Macaca fascicularis: one gene and its partner. The protein of the gene in region 1 interacts with the protein of each later gene in a biochemical or structural test. Links are inferred from orthologs where the notes say so. Each region holds a gene or a part of one and is shown on either strand. Other genes may lie near its edges. The genes, in order: GABARAP and ATG4B.

What was found.
Region 2: the proteins of GABARAP (region 1) and ATG4B form a complex in vitro, tested with the Homo sapiens proteins (3 studies listed by BioGRID and IntAct, with this or other methods). The link is inferred for Macaca fascicularis from reciprocal best matches to the Homo sapiens genes GABARAP and ATG4B.

What each region holds. Positions count from the first base shown.
Region 1 is NC_088390.1:7,288,972-7,293,136, reverse strand, and holds GABARAP (gamma-aminobutyric acid receptor-associated protein), read left to right. Parts: upstream 1-1,331; 5' UTR 1,332-1,450; coding exon 1,451-1,540; intron 1,541-2,112; coding exon 2,113-2,191; intron 2,192-2,331; coding exon 2,332-2,450; intron 2,451-2,868; coding exon 2,869-2,934; 3' UTR 2,935-3,369; downstream 3,370-4,165. UniProt on the Homo sapiens protein: Ubiquitin-like modifier that plays a role in intracellular transport of GABA(A) receptors and its interaction with the cytoskeleton.
Region 2 is NC_088386.1:137,583,044-137,587,598, forward strand, and holds the start of ATG4B (cysteine protease ATG4B), read left to right. Parts: upstream 1-1,506; 5' UTR 1,507-1,528; coding exon 1,529-1,538; exon of another isoform or gene 1,539-1,642; intron 1,643-1,722; exon of another isoform or gene 1,723-2,005; intron 2,006-4,555. Other genes in the region: peroxynitrite isomerase THAP4, read right to left, coding at 744-820. UniProt on the Homo sapiens protein: Cysteine protease that plays a key role in autophagy by mediating both proteolytic activation and delipidation of ATG8 family proteins. Required for canonical autophagy (macroautophagy), non-canonical autophagy as well as for mitophagy.

The DNA of each region.
Region 1 (4,165 bases):
CTTTGTTGTGATTGGATTTTTTTTTAAAACTCTTGTACAAAACTGATCTAATTCTTCACTCCTGCTCCAAGGGCTGGGCTGTGGGTGGGATACTGGGATTTTGGGCCACTGGATTTTCCCTAAATTTGTCCCCCCTTTCCTCTCCTTCTATTTTTCTCTCCTTAGACTCCCTCAGACCTGTAACCAGCTTTGTGTCTTTTTTTCCTTTCTTCTCTTTTAAACCATGCATTATAACTTTGAAACCAAAACGGCCCTAGGTCCTTCTCTGGGGTTTTGGGAAGTGAAGGGAGGGAACTTTGTTTACATGCACCCTGTCCCCCGAGCAGAGAGGGAAGAGACTGCTGTTGGACTCAAGGGGCAGGGGGAAAGGTGGTGTTGAGTATGGGGATACAATAATGAATGTGGCCACCAGATGCTTTGGCGGGAAGGGCCGAGGATGTGCGCGCTGGTGGGGAGTGGAAAGATACCTTCGGAGCAGCAGGCTAGAAAGCAAGTAAGGAGAAACCTGGACGGCCAAAGGGCGTAGAGCTGGAGAAACGTCGGGCTTCGTCCGGGGTACTGACGTGGACACGTTAAGCGGGCGCTGGCCCCAGGCGGCTGGCGCCCCGACCTCCGCAGTCCGGGGAGGCGTAGGTCCCCACTCGCCGCCGTCGCCCAGCCGGCCCCGCCTCCCCGGCGCCCTCCCAAGCCGGCCCTACTTCGCACACCCGCCACGTGACGCTCCGCCCTCTTTGAGATCACATGATTTCACTCAAACCGTGCGGTGTTCCTCCGCGCTGGCGTAGTCCCTACCCCTCCAACCTCCTCTCCAGTCCCTATTGGTCTACTCATTCTTGGCACTTAAGCGTTCTGTACATCTCTCCAAACATCTGTTTTCTTTTTGACCTCTTACTTCTGGAGATCATCTCCGCCACTTGGGTACTACTTTGTTTTGGTGTCAACGGCCGCCTTCAGCGTAGCAATACGGTTCGTGAATAGCTAACCTTGTAATTGTCTCTGCTGTTCCTCTACGTTGTTTCCGAAAGGAACTTGGAGAAGCAAGTCTCGTATGATGATTACCATATCTTACTCCTCTTCAGCCCCAGCTTCGTTGAGGGGAAGGTTGGGGAACAGATTTAGAGTTATTTTCCATGACCAAAAGCCAACCGTCTTTGCTACGTCGCCTGCGTAGCCCACAAATTGATTCCAAAGCGATTACGCTAATGGCGTGAGGGGGCCGGTCAGTGGGTGGTGCTACGCTAGCAGCGTTAGCACCGCTGAGGTAGTGGCGTATCTTAGTGGGGGGGCCGTCCCCGATAGTCGGGGGCGGGGTTGGTGAATAGGGAAGTGGCGCAAATTCGTGGATCGCTCCGCTGAATCCGCCCGCGCGTCGCCGCCGTCGCCGCCGCCCCCCGTCCCGGCCCCCCCGGGTTCCCTCAGCCCAGCCCGGTCCAGCCCGGTTCCCGGGAGGATGAAGTTCGTGTACAAAGAAGAGCATCCGTTCGAGAAGCGCCGCTCTGAGGGCGAGAAAATCCGAAAGAAATACCCGGACCGGGTGCCGGTGAGGACAGAAGCCAGGGCCGAGGGCGCGGGACGCTTACGCTGACGCCACAGCCTGGCCTTGGATCTGGGACGGGCAGCGCAGGGATCAGGCTGCTGGCTGTGTTGGGGTTGGGAGCGAGCCTGAAACTGCTGTCCTTGGGACCGAGGATGAAAGGAGTGGGGTAGTGGTGGACGTGGGGTTGAGAGGGATGTGGACAGGAGAGAGAAACCTTAGCATTTGTGTGAGTGGAGGCCTTAGAGAGTTTGACAGCCTGAGCCTCAAATGGCCATACCCCCAACTAGCTAAGGTTGCGAGATTGAATCACTAGTGGACCCAGACAAGTCATCTCCGTCTGATTAAGATAGTTGTTTATGGTGACGCCCTATTCGGTGGATGGATCCTGGATATTTAAATAAGCTCCAGTCAGTGAGGTCAGGATCTCTGGGACTCAGTGCTGCACCGCGTGTACAAAGACAAAGAGATGAGTCTGGGGTAGATTTAGGTACTAGGAATATTGTTACTTGAGTTCCTGACAGGTGCAGCTTTGGCGCTGCATTCCTTCTGTCTGCTAATTTTCGTCTCTTTATCAGGTGATAGTAGAAAAGGCTCCCAAAGCTCGGATAGGAGACCTGGACAAAAAGAAATACCTGGTGCCTTCTGATCTCACAGGTGGGAACCTGACCCAAGGCTCAGGCTTGCTTCCCGTGGGTGGGAGTGCAGTCTCTGTGGGAGAAGGCTCCACCTAGCAGCTGTTCTTTTGAGGGCATTTTTGACCTCTGTGACTTTCTTGCACCTTGTATCTTTTGCAGTTGGTCAGTTCTACTTCTTGATCCGGAAGCGAATTCATCTCCGAGCTGAGGATGCCTTGTTTTTCTTTGTCAACAATGTCATTCCACCCACCAGTGCCACAATGGGTCAGCTCTACCAGGTATGGTGACCGGGAAGTGGTGGAGGCTTTGGAGAGGAATCTTGGAAGAGCGTGAGGGGAAGAAAGTGTTGTTACATCAGTATTTTGGACTAGCTTCCTCGCTTGCCTTAACATTTCATAATAGCCGTGGTTTGGGGGTTGGGACAGAACAGTAGGAGTAGAGAGAAGGAAAGAGAACAGTGAACTAGAGAAACTGTTCGGGACTCTTCCCAGTCTTCCTCCCCATTCCAAAGCAGCAGAAAACAGTTTGAGGCCTTTTTTGCCCAGGACTGCAGAGATTATATTGCTCGTGTGCTAGGCCTTGGAGTCAGTGAAGGAGTCGGGCACTGGTTTCTGGTTCTAGAAGAAAGTGTCTGGGTCGTGGTTGGTTTAAGGAACTGGAGCCCAGTTGCTGAACAGTTTTCTGCCTTCATCCCAGGAACACCATGAAGAAGACTTCTTTCTCTACATTGCCTACAGTGACGAGAGTGTCTACGGTCTGTGAAGCTGCTGTCCCTGAGCTGGAGGGGGGTCTCATTCTACAAAGAGAGAGGTGGCCCCCTTTTCTTGACCTCCTCCTCCTTCAAGCTCAAACACCACCTCCCTTATTCAGGACGGGCACTTCTTAATGTTTGAAGTTTTCTCTCCAGCCTCTTTTCGGAGGGGTAATGGTGGAGTTGGCATCTTGTACCTCTCCTTTCTCCTTTCTTCCCCTTTCTCTGCCCGCCTTTCCCATCCTGCTTTAGACTTCTTGATTGTCAGTCTCTTCACATCCAGTGATTGTTTTGGTTTCTGTTCCCTTTCTGACTGCCCAAGGGGCTCAGAACCCCAGCAATCCCTTCCTTTCACTACCTTCTTTTTTGGGGGTAGTTGGAAGGGACTGAAATTGTGGGGGGAAAGGTAGGAGGCACATCAATAAAGAGGAAACCACCAAGCTGAACTGAATTTTGCCTTGTGTTGCTCCCCTCGTCCCGCTGATTTTTAGTCTTTCCAAGGTGTCAGTGGGTTTCAGTGGTGGGGAAAGGAGTATTGGGTACAAGCTGGAGGAATAGAAGTATATTTTGGTTTATTCTGTCCATGTTGGGCTTTTCCCTGTCTGCAAAAAGAGGGTGCTTTTTTGTGATGGAATGGAATACTGAGGATCATTTAATGAAACTTTAGTTTTATGACATGTATGTGAAACTGAATGTTAAAAATGCTCACGTAAAACTTTTGTTTTTTTTTTACTGTGGGTTCCTGTGGAGAAAGTTCCAAAGTACCTGCTTTAGGTGAACATCCACATTTGCTAGAACATTCTAATTAAGGAAGATATTTTCATGTGTGTAAGCTAGTAAAACGGCTGTTCTCAGTTGCATGTCACTTGGCTAGACTTTTGCCGGTGTGTGGGATTCAGCAGAGTGGAATCAGGGAGGGAGAAGACTGGGAGGGGGAGCCATTATCGCCAGGAATACTTCATCTCCCAGCAATCATTTCTCCGGCAGGCCGGAAGTGGGGCGGTCCCTCGGGGGAGAAAGAAGCTGCAGAACGAGACAGTATGGTGGCCGAGAGTTCTAATCCCTTCTTCCTCTTCTTTCTTGGTCCCGCCCAGCCTACATCTCCCAGGGGCCTGCGCGCGCACTTCCGCTCTCTCCTCTGGCTCCCGGTCTCCCCGCCACTCCCCGGGGGAGGGGAGCGGCTTGGGGCGCCTGCGCCAGCCTGTGGCTTTCTGGGAATCAAAGTTCCGGAGGCTCATGCGG
Region 2 (4,555 bases), on another chromosome or scaffold:
ACTATAAATAACACGTGCCACTGCCGTCTTTAAAACTTAAATAACACCCTGCAACAAAAAACAGAAACATCTACAAAGTGGTTTTCAAAGTCTGTTCGCGGTTCTGGTGCCTCCCGCGTGTAATCCGCAGAAATCTCACTGAAATAGGCTGAACCCACAAGGCCTTAGGGGGGTTTGGGCCCTGCCGCGGGGGCCCACGTGGGAAGCGGCCGAGAGCCCCGGGCCAGGCTCTAAGGGAGCGCGGGAGGATGCGGTCCCCAGCCGGCCGTCCCGCAGGCTCTCAGCGCAGACCCGCGTCCCGGGATCGGGGGCCCCGTCCCGGAAAGCCCTCTCGGGGGCTGTCAGCAAGGGAGGCGCAGGTCGCATCTGCCCGGCCGCTCCTGCTCGCAGACATCCAGGCCGACCGCCCGCGGTCCGGAGAGGCAGCAGTCGCGGCCGAGCAGGACAATCGGCCCGGGACCTGCGCTTCCAGAACGTGCGGCTTCTGAAGCCGCGGCGCCGGCCGGATCGATCGCGCGCAGGGCGGACCCGGGCGGCCGGGGTGGGGGCGGCCGCTCTGCCCGAGGCGCCCGGCCCAGAGACGGCGGCCGGGCCAAGGTCACACAGCGCCCACGCCCGCTCCCCCGCGCCCCGGCAGCCGAGGCCCGGCGCCCCCGCCCCCTGCGTTCGGGCCGGCCGCGGGGCCTCAGTTTCCCCGCAGGGCCGGGCCGGGGCGGGGGCGTGGCGGCCCGGGGCCCGCGTACCTGTGGAAGGAGACGGCGCGCTTCTCGCCCTTGCCCTGCCGATTGGAGCAGTTCACGGCCGCACAGCAGATCACCATTGCGGGCCTTGGCCCAGCCGCGCCGCCAGGCCCCGGCCCTCGCCGCCCGCCCGCCCGCGGACCGCCCCGAGGGAGGGAGCGCGGCGGCGACACGGCTCGGGACGTGGGCCGGCCCGCGGCGTCCGCGCCGTACGGCAAGATGGAGGCGCAGACGCCCGCCGCGGGCCCGCCCCCGCCCCCGCCCCCGCCCTCGCCCCCGCCCGCGTCCTGGCCAGGCGCGGGTTCGGGCGTCTTCGGGACCAGCGGGGCGCAGCCGGCCCCTCGCAGCGTCCGCCGGCAGGCGGGCAGGCGGGCGGTGGAGTCGCCCCGGCGGGGCCAGTCCGTACGGCGACATGGGCGCGCCGGGCACGTCCGTACCGCAAGATGGCTGCTCGGACAGGGACAGAGCCCGCCCCTGCCGCCTGGACAACTGCTCCCGGGTCCTCTAAGAGGAGGAAGCGCCACCCATGGCACGCAGTGTCCCGTCGGACAGCAGAGCGAGCCCTCGTCCCGCGACACGACTCCACGCCGCTCGCAGGGCGCTCCGGGCTCGCGTTGGCCCGGCCGTACGCCAAAATGGCGGCTCCCGCGTATTTCCGCTTGCGCGCCGTATCCTCTTTGCCGCCTGCCGCGCGCCCCGATTGGCCCCCGCGGCGTCCCGTCGCCGCGTCGCGCTGCGGGCCCGTCGGAGCGACGCCGCTTGGGTCAGTCGGCGGCCGGACTGGGAAGATGGACGCAGGTGAGGGGTTGCCGGCGGCCTGCCTTTCCGCAGGAGGTGCTCGCCTTATCATCGGCCTCCGCTGCTCGGGGCCGGGCTGCCGCGACTCGCTCCTGGGCACACCGGTGCGGGCCAGGCTGGGCCGGGGCGGCGGGCGCTGCGGGAGCGCGGGGCGGTGTTGGTGGGTGGTGGGCGGTGGGCGCGAGAGGGGGACGGCGGCGCTCTGCGCCGCGGAACCGGCTGTCGGTTGCCCTGGAGCTTCTGCTGCTTTTCTGGTCCCGCCGGGAGCGCTCTGGAGGTTGTGGCTGCACGGGCCCTTGCGCCAGGTCGGCCGTGGAGAGCGGCGGAGCCTGCCGGGCGGGGAGTGGCGCGGCGGCGGACGGGGCGGCCGCGGTCGGGACCGGGAACGCCAGCGGCGGGCGAAAGCGTGGCCTTCCCGCAGCTGAGCGTGAAGGGATGGAAATTCTTTAACTTTTATGAAGTTATTGGTAGGTTGGAGGCGAGAAACATGACATGTCCATCACAATATACGCATATTTTTTGTGTTTGTTTTCAATTTAGTAACCAGTAGGTCCTCCAAGCTGCTTTTCCGCGACGAGAAAGAGAAACAGTGAATTTGTGTCATCGGGTCTTAGTTTCTTGGGTTCATGAGAGAGAGATTGTGTGTGTGTGTGTGTGTGTGTGTGTGTGTGTGTGTGTGTGTGTGTGTGTGTGTGTAGTGTTGGTGTTTTTGCCTATTCTTTCATGCTTCCGCTCCATTTTTGCTGGCAAGATAGTTTTAAGTCGGTACCAAACCCATCGCTTGCCCAGTAGCCCTTGATACATTTTTACACAGAAGTTTTAGCCCATTCATTCTTTTGGGAACTGATTTGCTTTTTATCAAGTATCCCCTTTCTGTAAAGAAAGATTTTCATCTGGTTTAATTCTGTCATTCTGAATGTCAATCTTTACTTATTATTTTTCTGGCAGCTACAACACGAATTTATTAAGATCTGAGTAGGAAAACTGTAATGTGTATTGCCAATATCTGTTTAAATCATTTGAAGCTGGCCGGGCGCGGTGGCTCAAGCCTGTAATCCCAGCACTTTGGGAGGCCGAGGCGGGCGGATCACAAGGTCAGGAGATCGAGACCACAGTGAAACCCCGTCTCTACTAAAAAAACAAAAAAAAAAAATTAGCCGGGCGTGGTGGCGGGCGCCTGTAGTCCCAGCTACTCAGGAGGCTGAGGCAGGAGAATGGCGGGAACCCGGGAGGCGGAGCTTGCAGTGAGCCGAGATCGCGCCACTGCACTCCAGCCTGGGCGACAGAGCGAGACTCCGTCTCAAAAAAAATAAAAAATAAAAAAAAAATAAATCATTTGAAGCTGCTCCCCGCTTAAATGTGGTAGGTGGTTGGAGGAAACAGGAGCCCTGACTCCCTAAGGAGCATGTGTATCTTGTGAAGTTTGTGTTTTAGAATAACTGTCAGACACGGTTGTACTATTCGCAGCTGTGTGCTATTTGTTGTTTACTATTTTACAACTGTTGTATTATATCTTATTAGGTATTATTGTTTGTGATGCAGGATTTTTCTCAGCCACTTTGCCAGCCAGAGACCTCCAGCTGGCGAGGCCCCTGCCCAGGCCTTGCCTGGGTCCGGGCTCGCCGCAGGAGATGCCCTGTCTACTTGGCCCACCGGGTGGCACCTGGTTTGCACTCTGGCACGGATACCATGGCCGCCATGACTTCATGCTCAGCCCCTGGCGGGAGTGGGTGTGTGGGTGAGTGAGTGCCGGGTCCCGCCAGCTGTTTCAAGTGCAGACACCAGAGTGGGATCTGCAGAGCTTACAGCTAGACGTGTGGCAAGCAACTCCCACAGTGGACTCCAGCATCCAGACAAGGGGGCAGTGGATTCTGGTGTCCAGACAAGGGGAAGGTAGTGGCGCCCAAGCAGGGATGCTTGCAACCCTGAAGCCTAAGAGAGGGTGTTGCAAAGTGTCAACAGCCCTGTCACTCCCATTGCCCTGCTCCAGGCTATAGCTCTGGGGCTACCTCCATCCCCCCAGCTGCTTCCCGTTGCTGTGGGCTGTCACGTGGGGCGACTGCCCTTTCCCAGCAGAGGGCCGAGGGCCATAGTGTTACAGCTTTCTTTGTACCTGCATTCATTGGGTCCTTAGTTCTTGTCCCACGTCCAAGAAGAATGAGATTATACCGACAATCGAAGAGTGAGGAGGGTGGAGAATAGTTTTATTGAGTGATGAAACAGCTCTCAGCAGAAAGGGGACTCAAGGGTGGTCTTCCACCCAAAGTCAGGTGGTCTCCCTTGGTGTGGCTGGGTCCAGGGCTTTTATGGGCTCAGAATGGGGAGTGTGTGCTGATTTGCTTGTGAGTATGCAAAAAAGGCTAAAACAAAGTCACCACTCAAAGATGGGCACAACAGTGTAATAAACCAATTAGAGAAGGGTAAGTATATGTAAAATAGGTGAAGGGTGGGGATTAATTAGAGGAAAGCGCACCAAACAGGAAGAGAGGTTTGCAGTCCAGTCTGTGGATTTATCGGAGACTTGTTGCTTGGCTTTCAGGCTTTAAACTGTGGCTTGAAGGTTGGGTTTCACTGGTGACTCGCCCCTCTCTGCCTAGGATTTGTCTCCCCCCTGCCTCTATCATTTCGATACCTTGACACTGGAGTATCATATGAGAGACTTGGTTAAGGTCAAAAACAGAGTTCAGGGTCGATCACATGACCTAAAATATGAAAATCATCATGTTCAAGTTAGGAGAACAGTTATGTTGTTACATGATGATAGTTTATTTTTGTCTTTTATTTTCTCTTGACTACCATATTGACACGATGATACTTTAATAGGACACGGGATGCTGCTGCATGCGGAATCAGAGTAGGAAAGTCGCTTGCATTTAAAGGTCTCTGTTTATGCTGATAAAAACATTTATGATGTTTGTAGGATATCATGGGGAATTTTCCTTCTTACTTGATGCTATATTTCCTTTCAGGGATGATTAATGATCTGCCCTCCTCTGATCTCTAGAGTTCTTGAAGAT